Schizosaccharomyces pombe: one gene and its partner. The gene in region 1 interacts genetically with each later gene. Each region holds a gene or a part of one and is shown on either strand. Other genes may lie near its edges.

The links.
Region 2: of ypt4 (region 1) and lvs1, changing one suppresses a phenotype caused by changing the other (phenotypic suppression), as found in Schizosaccharomyces pombe (one study listed by BioGRID).

What each region holds. Positions count from the first base shown.
Region 1 is NC_003424.3:4,948,021-4,952,118, reverse strand, and holds ypt4 (GTPase Ypt4), read left to right. Parts: upstream 1-2,006; 5' UTR 2,007-2,096; coding exon 2,097-2,196; exon of another isoform or gene 2,197-2,244; coding exon 2,245-2,849; 3' UTR 2,850-3,222; coding exon of another isoform or gene 3,223-3,316; 3' UTR 3,317-3,360; coding exon of another isoform or gene 3,361-3,503; 3' UTR 3,504-3,578; downstream 3,579-4,098. Other genes in the region: U3 snoRNP-associated protein Nan1, read right to left, coding at 1-382, 554-687; DNA-directed RNA polymerase subunit Rpb10, read left to right, coding at 885-920, 1,237-1,390, 1,454-1,479; SPOM_SPAC1B3.20 (uncharacterized protein), read right to left, coding at 3,223-3,316, 3,361-3,503; protein Hrd302, read left to right, coding at 4,035-4,098.
Region 2 is NC_003423.3:1,851,393-1,856,428, reverse strand, and holds the start of lvs1 (beige protein 1), read left to right. Parts: upstream 1-1,904; 5' UTR 1,905-2,165; coding exon 2,166-5,036. Other genes in the region: serine/threonine protein kinase (CK1 family) Hhp1, read left to right, coding at 1-511, 634-840. UniProt on the Schizosaccharomyces pombe protein: May be involved in protein sorting and cell wall formation.

The DNA.
Region 1 (4,098 bases):
GACAAATGTTGGAATCAATATAGAACTGCCTTCTTTAGAAGTGGAGGGGGAAAGGGCATAAAGAGTAAATCGATCTTGTGAAGAAGCAGAGTCTGAAGCAGGAGTATCGGTTACAGCAAACAATAGCTTTCCGGAAAAAGAAGCTGCATGGACACGAGTGGAAATCTCCATGGTGCGCAAAAGTTCAGAATTCGACCAGTCATGAACACAGACGTATCCGCTTTGAAAAATCACATATAGCTCAAATGCATTCTCAGGAGACAATAATACAGCTACGGGTAATAAATTGGCCAAATTATTGGGAAAGAAAATTCGATTGATACAATCTCCTGTAATCAAAGAGAAAATTCCAATAAAAGTATCATAAGTAAGAAATACAAATCTAAAAATTAGTAAAAATAACTTAAAAACTGAAAAATACTAGAAAAGCAGCGGCAAGTACAGACAGGAATGAAATTCTTACAGATCATTTCGTGTTATATATTTCAATTAAGAAAATTGAGCAAAAGCAGTCTGTTCAAGGCTACCCAACCTTTAATAAAAAAAAACATACTTGTTATCATTAGAGTAAACTGCAGGGATCTTTGAAACCAAACGACCCCCTAAATATGCAGTTTTAGACCAAGGGTCTTTATCATTTTTTTTGACCTCCAATGAACCAACTTCCATAGAATTAGGCCCTTCCATAATTTTTATTCCTCCAACGAAAAATAATAAAACCGGTTGGAATTAAAACGCAATGGTGGTTGGTTAAAGCCAAATACTTGGTTGTAGCATAAAACTTTTCCTGGCGAACACACCTCCTTCCAATACGCACGGTTACCTTCCCTTTGCCAACAACACTAACAAAGTCAAGAAGGCGACGGGTGTTCAAAGTTAGAAAAATGATCATTCCTATTCGCTGCTTTTCTTGTGGAAAGGTAAGGAAACAAATTGCTATTTATAGGAGGTGGTTGAACGCGATTCACATTTTTTATGGATCGGTAGAAAAATTTCACAATTGCTTCGTGTATTGTATATAGTTTAAGATTAGCCTAAGTTGAAGCATTAGATTATAGTTTTTTTGGTATTAGATTTAGTTTAAAAATAGCCCCATTTTCGCTACTGATTCCAACGAGGACTGATCCACTTTTGGGGCGATTATACATATGTTTGTATATTACGAACGCTTATTTCTATTTGTTCAAAGAATTTCTATCTATTATTTTTTTAATTATTTGCTTGCTAATACAGCAGGTTATTGGTGACAAGTGGGACACCTATCTCACACTCCTTCAAGAGGATAACACAGAGGGTGAGGCATTGGATAAACTTGGCCTTCAACGTTATTGTTGTCGTCGTATGATTCTTACTCATGTCGACTTAATCGAAAAGCTACTTTGCTATAATCGTAAGTTTCATCATAATGATTAATCTGCGAACAACTTAGGAACAAAACTAACTAAGTGTTTAGCGTTGTCAAAACAAAAGAATCTTTAATCGGTTAGCCACGCTTGAAAGAATGTGAGGTTTATACTTGAGATTAGGCCGAGAAGCCTGGATTGTTGCAGAATTTCAATTAGTTTTACATCATTGCTCAAGCACACCGACCGATCATTTAATTATTCACTTTTTCATTTCGTACCCATAGATTCCAAATAACGCGCAAATTTTGGCTTTTCTTCATGATTCTTCTGACATTTTGACTTTGATTATATGCTTGTGTGCTTTGTGACAGTTCAATAGAGGCTTGGACATAGGATAGTCAATTTGCATTTATTTTTTTATTTTTTTCTCTATGTTCATATAATCATTCTGTAAGCTGATGTTGGATGGTTAGTTTTGTTACAGTACAGAACTGAATTTTTAGGTGTAGATATGTAGATGCAAGAACTTAGAGTTATAGTTTCATTGCCAATCAAGTGAAGTTGCATATTACGTCCTTTAGAAATTCATTTTCCTCTTAACATTTTAATCAGAAGTTAATAAATAATATTTTTGGTGTTGTCTACATTTGTTAGTGCTACGTGATCCAGAGCATCATACCAATATCGGAGCCTACGAGCTTGAAATGTCAAGAAGAGAACAATTGAAAGCCAAAAATTCTATTTATTATTATGGACAAAGAATCATATGACTATTTGGTAAAGATTGTACTTGCAGGTCCTTCGGGAACTGGCAAATCCTGCTTGTTACAGAGATTTGTTAAGAATCAATGTAAGTACATGCAAATTTAACAATGTTCAAGTTTTTAATGGAAATTAGGGGATGATCAAGTATCACATACTGTTGGAATCGATTTCGCAAGTCGGATTATAAGTGTTGGAATGGGAAACCAGCAAAAAAGAATCAAGTTACAAATATGGGATACTGCTGGTCAGGAAAAGTTTCGAAGCGTGGCTAGGAATTACTATCGTGGAGCAGCAGGTGCTGTTTTAGTCTATGATGTGACAAACAAGGACTCGTTTGAAGAATTGTCGTCTTGGCTGTCTGATATTCGAGCTATGGCTCCATCAACAATATGTGTTGTATTGGCTGGTAGCAAATCTGATTTACAAAACCAACGACAAGTCTCTACTGAAGAGGCAGCTGAGTTTTGCTCAGAAAAGCATATATCTAGTGCGCATGAAACTAGTTCTTATACAGGAAGCAACGTTGAAGAGTGTTTTCTTTCCGTTGTCTCCACCATAATAACTAGGATTGAGTTGGGTGAAATTGATCCCCAAGATCAATCCTTAGGTATACAATATGGTGATTTAAGTTTCCGTAGACCGGTTCACCCTTCCAGTACTTCGAATTGGTGGACTTCAATTACGAATTGGGACGACCTGGTCCGTTTGGAAAGACAGACCAGATCCTATTGCTGCTGAAAAAAACAGTTATTCAATTATTTATTATTAAATTATCATACGTGTATTATTTTTAAGTTTATGAGGATATTTTCATGATATTTCGAAAGCTCTTCTCAACTTAAACACAGTTTGATGATTGATACATCTATATAATTATGACCATATTTACTGAAGGAAGATGTTAGAGTATAGAGCTGCATTTAACAAAGAGAATTAAATAATTTATTTGAATAATCGCACTTTAAATAAGTCCGATAAGGATCATTTACAAAAGGGTAAATTTACTATAGAAGTTTTGCTTTATGAAGCGCATATATAGAAGTCATCAATTGATTCAATTCATTACAAACGAATAAGGCCAATTACTCAGTCCGTAAAGTCCATATGGGTTTTATTGTTCGTCTTTTGGACCCTCCAAATCAACGGGTTCTTTTAAATTCAATCTATCCAAATTCGCATTGCCCCCATGAGAGAATGGTCTAGGACTATATTGTATTAGAATTAATATTAAAAAATTTTGAGAGCATACTTTACAGGAAAACCAGCAGGCCCACGAAGGGGAGGCATGCCATGACTTTCGGTTTCCCGCAATGCATTCCTTAGGTCCGTTTGTTTTTCAGATTTACTACGATTATCACCAGTAGAATGATCTGTATTGGAATTAGAACTCATTTTTTATGTGTTTGGTTCTTGGTAAGTAACGATTACTGCGTTGGTTTCACATCGTCTGTTCCACGTCAAACTTATAACCTGACATCAACATAACATATCCATAAATTGGCAGTCTTCGCTCTTTTCATAATCTTTTTAAAAAAAACCAATTAAGTTTTGTTATTTAAGATCAAGAAGATTTACTCCAAGTTGGTATGGTTGCCTGATTTATTCCGCCATTCAATCCTACATTGTTATAGTTGTTTTGAAGGTGCGGGCTAACAATAACAAAAGCTTTTATTTTCCCATTTTGAGCATTTCATATTTTGTGAATGCTTTGCCTTTCTCGCTTTTGTGATAACTTACACTTGCATTGTTCCACTGTTAGTTTAGACGCGTTTGTTGTTGGAAGTCATTGAAAGAAAAGCTCCGGTAAATTTATCAATAAAAACGTTACACTTTTGTTGCTGTAAAATTCGTCTCAAGCGGGTAAATTTGCCCTGTTTTCAGTTACAACTGTCATTGTTAACTTGTACATATCATTATTAAATTATGGGGGTTTCGGTTCTGACGTTTCACGTTAGTTTATTTTTGAAAAGAATCTTAAGCATAGCAT
Region 2 (5,036 bases), on another chromosome or scaffold:
TCATCGTGATATTAAGCCTGATAACTTTTTAATGGGAATAGGTAAAAGAGGAAATCAAGTTAACATAATTGATTTCGGATTGGCTAAGAAGTATCGTGATCACAAAACTCACCTGCACATTCCTTATCGCGAGAACAAGAATCTTACAGGTACTGCACGCTATGCTAGCATCAATACTCATTTAGGTATTGAACAATCCCGCCGTGATGACCTCGAATCTTTAGGTTATGTGCTCGTCTACTTTTGTCGTGGTAGCCTGCCTTGGCAGGGATTGAAGGCTACCACGAAAAAGCAAAAGTATGAAAAGATTATGGAGAAGAAGATCTCTACGCCTACAGAGGTCTTATGTCGGGGATTCCCTCAGGAGTTCTCAATTTATCTCAATTACACGAGATCTTTACGTTTCGATGACAAACCTGATTACGCCTACCTTCGCAAGCTTTTCCGAGATCTTTTTTGTCGGCAATCTTATGAGTTTGACTATATGTTTGATTGGACCTTGAAGAGAAAGGTATGAGATATCTTGGTAATAGTGCTTTTTTTATTTTCTGGGTTTCCGAGTTATTGAAAACCAATGTAATATGATATTTTATGAAGTTTACATAGTCACATTTACTAACATTTAAATTGTAGACTCAACAAGACCAACAACATCAGCAGCAATTACAGCAACAACTGTCTGCAACTCCTCAAGCTATTAATCCGCCGCCAGAGAGGTCTTCATTTAGAAATTATCAAAAACAAAACTTTGATGAAAAAGGCGGAGACATTAATACAACCGTTCCTGTTATAAATGATCCATCTGCAACCGGAGCTCAATATATCAACAGACCTAATTGATTAGCCTTTCATATTATTATTATATAGCATGGGCACATTATTTTTATATTTTCTTCTCATCTGGAGTCTTCCAATACTTGCCTTTTATCCTCCAGACGTCCTTTAATTTTGTTGATAGCGCAGGGCTTTTTCCTTGGGATGGCGAAAGTTACTTTGCTTATAGTTTATTGAGGGTTCATAGCTTATTTGGCTGAAGATCTTGTGTTGACTTAAATTCTATGCTAACCTCATGATCATATCCTCATTATGGCAAGTTTTGGTGAAAAATTTTTTAATATTAGTACATTTGCTAATAATACATTTGGTATTTGTTTTTACTACCTGTGAATCTATTCATACATTATCATATATGTTTCGAGCCAGGAACAGAAAAAAGTGAGAGAATTTTCTGCAGAAATGATCATAATTTTATCTTCGCTTAACACGAATCCTGGTGACAGATTATGCGTGGTTTAAAGCCTTTTTTTTACGACGCCATAAGCAAATTGGTTACTTTTTTATGTGTGATGAGCCTTGGGGTTTAATCTAATTAGAAGGCATTGCATTCATATACTTTTAATAATATATTATCAGCTATTTGCTGCTTTTCTTTATAGATACCGTCTTTTCCAAGCTGAACTCATTTAATCAGCGTCGTTTAACCTTAGGATGCTTAAGATGCGTTTAAATTCAATGACTTAATGCTCGAGGGATGAATGGTTTGTTTTAGTTCGTGTTCTGGGTGCATGATCTCGTGCTTGACTGTTTTATTGAAGCGTTCATTTCATGAAGTGTCTTTCGATGTTGTTCACACTTCTGTTTGCTAAATATAATAAATATTTTGCTTTTCATTTTAGTTTGTAAACATACTTGAAAAAACTAGAAAGGTGTTGTTTGTAAGTTTTTGAATTATCAATAAGATGAATTTAGAATGATGACACCTACTTCAAAATCAACAAGCATAAATGAAATAGAAATAAATTGTCTTTACTTACTATCTATTTGGTGTAGTTCTCTTCTACAGCAAGTTTTCATAGTTCACTTCGTTTGGCAAGAAATCATTATCACCGCTATACTTCACCGCCAACCACTACGAACTATTATTGCCAGTTTCAATAACGATAAATTTAAGCAAGCATCAATTTTCATTAATTTCATCGATTATATATATTAATCGTTTTCTTTTTTAAAACCATTTCTCTCTGCTTCAACTCACATGACCTATTCATAATATACACTCACTTGACCAGAGTTTATCGAAATAAATACGAAACTTGTGCACCAGGGGCTAGGAACGAATATTTTTGTTAGGTTCTTTCTTCTATCTTTTATTCAAGTAAGCTGCTATGGACAGAAAGGCGAATGCCTATTCTAAAAGCGTTGAGTTGTTATCGAGGCTTGAGGGTTGTCCCTCAGAAAAAGTTCTGTTAGAAGAGTTACGAAAATTGAGGGGGTTCATTCGAAATGATATTCCCAGTAATTTTTTTCCACAACTCTTTATTACTGACAATGGCTTTGCAGCCATTAAGAAGGCTGTCACTAAGCTAAACTTTCAATCGTTACTAAGTCTTGATATTTTTGAATGCTGCTTGCAAATATTAGGAATTGCAACTTCTTATACTATCTTGCGTTCTTGGTTACTATCCAGAAAACATATTGAGGCATGGATTGAGCTCGCTATTCGAAGAATGTTTTATTCATTCTGTGCTATACAGGATGATTCCAATATTTCCATTTATGCAATAGGTACTTCTTCCAAGACAGATTCTTCTATTCAAGCTGCTTCTCCTAATGAAGATTTAAAGTCAGAAGGGGCGCAAGAGATTGATTCCCAATCGGAGACAGTTTCAATATCTTCTGACGTTGATTATGATGAAGATCGTAAGGATTTAAAGAAGGCCAAGATATGTAGTGCATATTACCTAAAAACTAGGCTACTTCTGGCTGTTTTGTCTTTTGCCCAAAACGATAGTACTTTTTCGCTTTTGAAGCTTGTACCTTCTTTGCAAGATAATACCAATGCATCTCTTGTTGAGTTATCTCGCGTAGTGGAAGCTGCAATACAGAAGCTTTCCATCAAACCGCTAGCTTTCCCTAATGTTTTACCCCAAGTCCTTCTTCTCTGTCCTTCTATCTCCATTTTCAATCTTATCCTACTTCACCTTCGTGCACTTATTCGTTCTTCTCCTGAAAACGCTATTAAAATTGGTTATTCCAAAACTATGCATTTCCTTTTAACATACCTTTTCGAGCCTCCCACTTCTTTTCCATTGTCGGATGTTTCGAAAGATTTGCTCAATGAGATCACATTACATTGTGCCACTTTTGGAGTGTCGAATGCTTCTACTGCAAAGGTTTTACGTACATATTTGAAAACCAAGTCTGAATTCCTTCGAACATGGTTATTAAAAGCTCTTTCCCACCTTGTTGCACCATCTTTTTATTTTAATCCTTCGACAAAAGGTTACTCTTCTATTGATTTTACGCTGAGCTCTCCTGTAATGCCAATTAATGGATATTCTGTTTCCCTTTGGTTAAACATTGAGTCTCTAATGAACGATGATGGCAATTATGCCCCAACTACCCTTTTTCTCATCTCTGATTTTTTGAAATCAACCCTTTTTCGCTTACTACTTGATGCATCCAAAAAGACTGTAGTTGTTCATATTGGCTCAAGTAAAGATACCTGTGTAGTTAACTTTTCAACTCCTATTACCAATTTTTTTTCCAAAATTTACAAAGATAATCCTAGTCTAAATCCACCTTCGTGGCATTTGATTACCTTAGTCCATCGTAACGAAAAATCTTCTCTTCCCAACTTGGAACTATATATTGATGGTTCTGCTGTTGAACGCGCTGCTTGCCCTTACCCATTTCTTTCTTCTACCTTACAGCCATTATACGTATCTTTAGGTCCCAGCATTGGATCAAGGAACCAATCTACCCCATCAACCCTTGCACCTAATGTAGCTGAAACTGATGCACTTGTTTCAGAGAACACTGGAGCAGCATCTCAAAAGACATCTAAGTCTTATAAAACTAACGACTCCTTGAAAGTGCCTCCACTAGTACCTCTATTAATAGGGACAACACGGTTTTTTCCGGTTCCTTTAGTTTCATCGCAAATAGCAATTATTAGTAGTCTAGGACCAAGTTATTCGGGATGTTTTCAAGGTCCAATCAATGATTATATGACTTACAAAGCGTCTACTGCTCTTACTCTAGAAATCCAAGATTCTAAATCAAATACCGAAGATTTACTGCATAGTATTCAAGCATTCTCTCGTTCTCCCATCGCTTTCATGAGCTGTGCAAGGGATTATGTTGATATTATGGACTTACAACTTTCTGACTTTTGCTCTTTTTCTGTTTTGGAAACGTTAAAAAAGTTGGAGAATCAATATTATTCGCATGTTTATATAAATCGAGCTGTCTCGTCTTATGATAAAGCATTCTCAGCTGAACAACCTAGCTTCGGTGTATCTTCTGGATCTGTTACTCCAATCATAATGCAAAGTATTAGTGATGCCATTTACAATATAGGTGGTTCATCTATTCTGCTAGAACTTGTCGGTACCGCTGAGACTGAGGCAGAGCTCAACTTTGGATTGCAAGTATTTTTCTCTTCAATTGAGGATAACTGGAGGTTTTCTGAGAATGTTGAGCAAACACATTCTTTTGAAATTTTGGCTCAAATTTTACACTCAAAGTCCCATCTTCTTGTATCCGAAGAAACTCTTAAAATTATTGCTTTAATGTCTGGGGTACACCATACGCGCTTTAAGCATCCTCTTGTAATGAATCCACTGTTGTTTCGATATTTAATTTTAGATTTTGATTTATGGTCCAAGGCACCTAATTCTAATTTATTTGTTCAGCAGTTAGGTTATATTGTTTCTCTTATTGAGAATAATGATTATGCCGGTTTTAACGTTAAACGATTAATGAAAATGCAAATATTAAAAAAACTTTTAACGGCAATGAGAAATTGTTTATTTCATAAGGATTTGCTTCCAATATTACGCCTCCTTTTCAAAGTTTTGATGACCTCTGCTTTTGTTTCTGAAAATATTCGCTCCGTTGCTACATATATAATTTATGCATCCCAAGCAACTGGAAAATCTAAACCCATTCGCCGTTCTAGTGTTTCAATTGCTGTAGATCGTTCTGATTCTAATTATATTAGCATCAAAGAGTCTGGATACGCGATTTGTGAG